Linked DNA regions of Tribolium castaneum. The protein of the gene in region 1 interacts with the protein of each later gene in a pairwise test. Links are inferred from orthologs where the notes say so. Each region holds a gene or a part of one and is shown in the gene's direction. Other genes may lie near its edges.

Region 1 (3,778 bases):
CAAGTCGCCCTTGAATTTCGCCACGTAGAGACACATGGCGCACTGGTGCCACGTGATGGCCTCCGGGGGCGTATGCCTCCGCAAAACGTGCGTTTTGAGGTAATTTCTGTCTTTCGTTTTGAACTCGCATAAATGGCACGGGATTAACGAGGGGACCCCGGGGGGCTGGCGCGCGGGCCGCTGGACGTGGTGCAGCGTCCGGGGGATTCCCTCGGAGCAGTAGAGTTTTATCGTCGTCTCTCCCGACTTATCGACCAGTTTCATTAACATCAACACTGAGTTTTTATCGGTGACTTTACACCGACTTGAGTAAATGTGGTTCAAGAGAATCAGTCGGGAGTAAGTTTTGAAGTTGCAACTTTCACAAACGTAGCACACTGTCTCATTTTTTTGTCGATATATGGGGATTTGTGTCAAGGAATGTGTCTTCAGTTGGGCCAAAAAGGGGGTTAAGGTACGACACGAGAGGCATTTGTACGGTTCGAGGAGGCCGTCGATGCACTTGTACGGTTCCAAAACTCTACGTCTCTTGGAATTTGAGCTGAAAAAGGTGGATGTTGTGAAAGGGTGGCTTCGAGAACTGCGGAATCTTTCGGAGCCAAGGGGGTGCAAATCGATGTCCCCCATCTCACAGTTCATTAAGAACGTACACAATTCGGGTTAAAACCGCATTTTTTAATGTTTTATTTCAAGACATTGGTTAGGTTATGGAGCGTAGTTCGTATGCACTGACAGTCGGTGAAGGTGCACTAAAAATTGGGGTGGGACTGTGGAAATTACAGTCGACCAGACAACTGCTGCGCTTGCAGCTGGCACCATTTCTCAATCATTTAAATTAAAACTTAAGTATACATTCAATTTCTGCATTTTTATATGTCACTAATCTATCACTATAATATATCAAATAAAAAAAAGACATAATCTGTCAATATAAATTGCACAGCAAGAGTTGATCTAAAGACTTTTTGAATGCTTTGTTAAAATTTAAATCGTTGTTAAAAGTTAACAACACGAATGGGCCAGTCCAATTGTTTGAATGTGGTCACGTGACCAGTTAATCACGCATTTAATTGTAGATTAAATTAATGACGCTTCTATAAACCGGTACTAAAAGTGTTTTTACATTATTTTATTTATAAATTCGTTTGATGAATCATTAAAAACGTTTGTTTGATACGCTTTTATATTACCAATAAAAAAAATTAAATTGATGTTTGGGCGAGACCATGACCCCCGTTCCCCCCACCTGGAACCGCCCTTGGTGGACAAACACCCCTCGGGAAAGACTACCGCTAATTATTACAAATAATAAATTAATTAAATCAGTTAGCTCACGCCAAATGATCACAGCCTTCAAAAGGATTTCAAACGCTTGCAAATTATTTTTCCATAAAATTTAACTTCGACTATAAACTACTCTCACCGAAGGTCACACGAGTAGTTCTGTTGCACACCATAACCTTAAAAAACATGTGTTTGTAAATTTGTAATGCGGAAAAAATGGTACAAACTACGGATTTTTACAATACGTGCCTCTCAGATTTTAAGGAGATAACGCACAAACCTACAAATTTCCTCCAGTGAGTTATTTTATCAATTTGTGTAACAGTTGTGTAAATTTTTTGCAGGATTAGTGACCCTCTTTGTGAGAAAATCAAAACTAGCTTAAAAAAATGTTACGATTACGCGAAAGCGGAGGAAATCACCAGAACGGACGCTTTGCCACAATTAAATGTAAAAAATTTCGACTTGGAGCAAATTTGGCAACAAATCGAGTTACAAAACGAGAATTTAACCACCAAAAGTGTGACTTGTGTTAGCAGACTAATCGCTGGTAAAAGCCGACTTTTATTTAAAAATCTAGACAAGAGTGGAATTAGCGATGACGGAAGTGAAGTTGAAGAAAACGATGATGGAAGTGAAGTTGAGGAAAATTCGGAGCATTCTGACACCAGTGGTGATGAATCAAACGATTTAAACGACGTGGAGAGCTCTGATGATGAAGTCGAGACGACCGAAACGAGCAAACCCGTAAAACGGTCAATCGTCGACGATGATTTCTTCAAACTGGACGAAATGGAGCGTTTTCTTCGCGAAGAGGAGAAGAAAGAGGAAGGTGTTGATTCCGGCAACGATTCTGAATCTGAGGCAAGTGTTGATTTATTTGAGGCTGATTCCGATGACTCGGAAGATCACGCAAAGACGGCGAAATACAAAGACTTCTTCGTCCAAAATGAAGAAAAGCCGTCGACTTTCGAATTGCGCCAAAAGCGTCTGGCTAAGAAAATCGAAGAAATTGAAGAGGAAGCAATTCAGGACAAGACTTGGCAATTAAAGGGTGAAATAACGGCCGAGAAACGGCCCCAAAATTCGCTCCTTGAGGAGGTCGTGGAGTTTGATATGACGACAAGGCCGCCCCCTGTAATGACCGAACAAACCACAATGCAGTTGGAGGATATCATAAAAAGAAGAATCAAAGACAAAGTGTTTGATAGTGTGGAACGTAAGGCAAAGCCGGTGGAAAATTTGTTAGACTATAAGAAAAAAATCGTCTTGGACCAGGAAAAAAGCAAAGAGTCTTTGGCACAAATCTACGAGAAGGAGTTTCTTCAAGCGCAAGAACCCGAAGATAGGGAGAAAGAAGAACCAGAGCTCCACAAGGAAATTAACTCTTTGATGAGGAAATTGTTCACGAAATTGGACGCTTTGAGCAATTTCCACTTTACGCCAAAGCCTGCAGTTCCCGATTTGAAAATTATCAGTAATTTACCGGCGATTAGTGTGGAAGAAGTGGTGCCAACTGCGGTAAGTGATGCCACATTGTTGGCACCTGAAGAAATACAAAAGAAACCAAAAGGTGATCTCGTCGGAGTGAAAGAAAGGACAACGACTGATAAAAAAAGGGAACGGAGAAAAAAGAAATTGAAGCAAAAAATTCACGCCAAAAATAAGAAGGAACCAGTCAAGAAAGCAAAAAATGTTAATTTGGTGGGTTTTGATTGGGTTAAGGGCTTTTATTTTATTTCCTTGGTTGCAGATGGAGGACAAGGGAAAGAGGATAAAGTCGTCCAAGGAGTTTTTCAATCAGTTGCAAGAACAAGTCCAGGTTTCGCAAATTAAGAGAAAAGCGGCCCCTACTACCAATAAAAAGAGCGCGAAAAAATTAAAATTGTAAATGAATAAATCCTTACTGTAAATTGCGTGTTTTTCTCATTTACCTACAAATAACATAACTAACAATTTCAAGTGATAAGCGTTGATAAGCTTATCGTTGAATTTTGATGTGGTGAACATAACCTCAATTTTTCTCTTTAAAACCGTTGATAAAATGTGCTAACGCGGGTTTCGCCATGCATATGTCGTTTTGGTGGGACTACAAACTTACCGACTACCTCTTCCGGGGGCTGTCGTCACACTCAATCGCGGGCCTTGTCGGTATGTGTCTCAGCGTGGCCTCCATGTCTTTCGCTTTCGAGTTTCTCCGTTACCTGCAAGCCAAACAACGCCAGAAAGAACTGATCCTCAGGTCGGAGCAACTGAAAACGATTTGCCCCACTGAGACCTCGACACTGCTTGATGGGACTCAAGCGCCCCCCGGGGTCACAATCACGCCAATGCACAGGTTGTACTATTACAAATGTGAATAAAAACAAGACGTTTGTTTTAGAACGTTTTTATTCGTCTCGGAGATTGGGCTCTGGTTCTCTTTACAAAACTTAGGTTATATTTTGATGTTGTCTGTTATGTTGTACAATGGATGGTTGTTTATCTCAGCTGT
Region 2 (3,717 bases), on another chromosome or scaffold:
TTTAAAATTGGCGAACGTAAGCCATACCCTAACAAGACATGTGCAGAGATAATTTGCAAGTCTACCGGAAAATTATCTAGTCTACAGTACGAAAATTTGAAGTCTTAAATTGTCGTAATTTATTTTATTTCAGGTGCAGTCGCCACCTGAAGGGTAAAAATGGCTGTAAAATAGTTGCGGGAGATAGGAAAAAACCTTTTCCGAATTGTTGCCCCCAGATTTCCTGCCCAGTCAAAGATACAAATAAGGGTTAACGTAGCGGAGATTTAAATAAATCGGAGATCCAGCTTTTTTCGGAAATAAATACATTGTTAGTACTTACAATTCTATTCGGTAATAAAAACAGCATAATACGGATTTTGTTGGATTTGTGATGTTTTTTATCAAAATTAATCATTGTTGAATGAAACTGCGTAATAATTCTTAGTAATGTCACAACCGACAAATACAAAATTGCTCTAAAAATCATAAACAAGCAAAACTAATAAAACAAAAAAGCATATATAAAATCGTGATCGCTCCTGATTTGTAGCAAGGAAATAAAATATTTTATTTCTCTGCAATTTTTAAGCAGAATAAAATAATAACACGTATTTCAAGTCACGTCGCAATTTTTTCTCGTTTATTACTAATTGTTCGGGTGTTTATCACTGCAACTAATAATTACTAATAAATGAAACAATGATAAAATACCCACTATTCTTTCCTCCCAAACCAAGCATGACCATGAAGTGCTTTTTAATAATATTAAATTTGTGTATTTTACAAATTCATTGCGGCGTAGGGCCAGGATTGAGATCTACTCCGCCCTTAAAAGATCAAAGTACGTTGCAAATTTCTTAGTTTGTTAATTAAATTCATAAATATTCTAGAAACTGGATGTTTTGACGAAACATTGGGGCATCTAGAGTCCCGTAAAAAGCTACCGGTTCCAGGCAAATGTGCAATGGCTCACTGCCAACCCGATGGGTCTATATTTGTTGATGGAAGGTTAAATTCCTAAAGATTTACATTTAATTTCAATTATTTTTATTCGGTTTTAGGTGTGCTTTGCGCCTAATGAGGGCTCCAAACTGTTCCAAAGACCTCCCGGTTGATCTAACAAAACCGTACCCCCATTGTTGTCCCGTCAAATGTATAATAAAGGAAAATCCGTGACGATTGCTTCTTGCCTGAGGTGACGACAATGGGTACTTCCCCCAAGGACTGTTCGAAGAAAATAACACACAAATGTTTTACTTAACTGTCTTAGATTTGTATGCTCAGTGTACCAATAAACAATTTTATTACTCAATAACTTTATTTTTTCACCCTCTTTATATCCTTCAATTTTTTTAATTTTTGTAGGAGATTAAGCGAAAACACATTAGAATGGTCAGGAGATGTTCTACTCTACAATTGTAATATATGCAAGTCAGAGTAACAGCTTATTAATGTTTTTATAATGATTTACCCTTATTTTGATAATTTTCCTGGTGTGAACTTGGCTGTAGAAAACGAGAATGGTGGGGAAATGGTGCGCACAGCGATTGTCTGGTCGACTGTAATGTTCATGGTGCCACCGACATCCAAGCGTGACAATTCTTTCCAAACACAGGAATAACATTTCGTGTTAGCAGTTTTCAATTATTTTGGGCTCCAGACAATTAAATAAGTGACGAAAAAATGATAGTTTAACGCGTTAGCGCTTTGTGATACGCAATGGAAAATTTTCAAGCCAAGAAGCCAAAATCGGAAGGTTTGTTTACTCATTTTAGTTTACATAATAAGTTCCCGCAAATCTATAATTACTCTCTAGATTAGAGTCATTGCGTGCGTTTCAAAGACAGACTTTTTGCGCCCAATTATTAATAAACAAACAATTTTCCGTTCGTTTTCCTCGCGTTGGCAGCAGCGATTGTTTGCTGTCACCTGTCAAGTGCACGTGTTCATGAGGTTATAAACTTAGAAAATGTTACGCCGCCAAGCTCGCTTACGACGCGAGTACCTCTACCGGAAAACCGTCGAAGACAAGCAAAAATCCATCCAAGACAAGAAGGACCGCATCAAGCGCAGTTTAGAGGAGAACATCCCCATCCATGGGGACCTCCAGAAGAAGGCCCTGCACTACTCCAAGAAGCTCGAGTGGGAGGACGCGGGGCCCGCGGCCGCCGTCCAGCTCGGCGGCGAGAGCGGCGGGGCCCTAGCCAGCTCCATCGACGACGAGTACAGATACGCGGGGGTCGAGGACCCCAAAATTGTCATCACGACGAGTCGGGACCCCAGCTCGAGACTCAAAATGTTCGTCAAGGAACTGCGCTTGATTTTCCCCAACGCCCAGCGGATGAATCGGGGCAACTACGAGATGAAGCAGCTGATTCATGCGTGCAGGGCCAATGACGTGACCGATTTCATCGTAGTGCATGAGCACAGGGGGGTGCCGGACAGTTTAGTCGTTTGCCATCTGCCCTACGGCCCCACCGCCTATTTTACGATGTCCGATGTTGTCATGAGGCATGACATCCCCGATTTGGGGACCATGTCCGAGCAATACCCCCATCTGATTTTCCATAATTTTAAAACGAAACTTGGGGAGCGTGTCACGAACATTTTGAAGTACTTGTTTCCAGTGCCCAAGGAGGACTCCAAACGGATAATCACCTTCGCCAACCACGACGATTATATTAGCTTTAGGCACCACAATTATAAAACAGTCGATAAGCAGGTAAGTCACCCCGGAAAATTAAATTTTCTATACAACTATTTGAAAAAATCCGCCGGTTTTGTCCTTAGTATCGATTAATTGAAAAAAAAAACATTTTCAGATCGAATTGTCTGAAGTGGGGCCCCGATTCCAGCTGCGCCTCTATGAGATCAAGTTAGGGACTTTAGACAATGCGGACGCTGCCGATACAGAGTGGGCTTTAAGGCCCTACATGAACACAACGGTGAAACGGAGATTTTTAAGTGACGAAGACGGTTGGCTTCAAGAGGACACAATGATCTCATAACTTTTATTTACTTTTTTAATAAATTATCTGACGACGATGTGTTTTATTTTTTTATTTTTCTTCCTTATTGTTTTGTTTGGACAATGTGTTAATGGAAACAATAAATTTAGAAGTAACAGGTGTTTCGAGGAGCGGCAGAGTGCGCAAGAAGTCGTCAAAGTTGATGGACTTCGAATCGCCGGACGACATTGATAGGTCCTTTAACAAAAGGCAGGGAATTGGGCGCAAAGCGGACTTTGAAGTGCAACCACCTCGGAAAATGGCGCGCCCCGAAGATGTAATTTTCACTTCTCTATCAATAAATACTCAAACACAATTTGAAGGTCTTCATCAAGTCTGAACACAGTTTTGAGAATTACGACGAAGCGAGCGAGTCCGACTACGAAAGCGAGTATGAACTCCCGGCCAATACAGAATCGAGCATTGATTCTGTAGACACAGACAGCGACTTTGACGAACAGGAAACAGGTGGCTTCAAACGACTTGATACGGACACTTCCAAGAAACGGCTGATTATCAAGGACGGCAGAATCGTCAAAACCGACAAACACCCAAGTAAGATATAGTATTTTGATTCCAGGGGCCCTGATTACGCTTTTAGGGGGCGGCAAAGGTGGGTCTAAAGCCACAGGGAAGAAGACTCCAATTTCGAAAACATCACCCGGAAGTTTGTCTTATGACACCTCAAGTATTTCACCCCCGAGTCCGAGAGGCAGCAAAGATGGGT

Evidence for each region.
Region 2: the proteins of U3 small nucleolar ribonucleoprotein protein MPP10 (region 1) and U3 small nucleolar ribonucleoprotein protein IMP4 interact in a two-hybrid assay, tested with the Drosophila melanogaster proteins (2 studies listed by BioGRID). The link is inferred for Tribolium castaneum from reciprocal best matches to the Drosophila melanogaster genes CG13097 and CG11920.

What each region holds. Positions count from the first base shown.
Region 1 is NC_087399.1:8,513,073-8,516,850, forward strand, and holds U3 small nucleolar ribonucleoprotein protein MPP10, read left to right. Parts: upstream 1-1,421; 5' UTR 1,422-1,500; coding exon 1,501-1,580; intron 1,581-1,628; coding exon 1,629-2,988; intron 2,989-3,037; coding exon 3,038-3,175; 3' UTR 3,176-3,197; downstream 3,198-3,778. Other genes in the region: zinc finger protein 142, read right to left, coding at 1-627; protein SLC31A2, read left to right, coding at 3,351-3,622, 3,668-3,778.
Region 2 is NC_087395.1:22,015,058-22,018,774, forward strand, and holds U3 small nucleolar ribonucleoprotein protein IMP4, read left to right. Parts: upstream 1-1,516; 5' UTR 1,517-1,701; coding exon of another isoform or gene 1,702-1,738; intron 1,739-1,798; 5' UTR 1,799-1,951; coding exon 1,952-2,704; intron 2,705-2,804; coding exon 2,805-2,990; 3' UTR 2,991-3,027; downstream 3,028-3,717.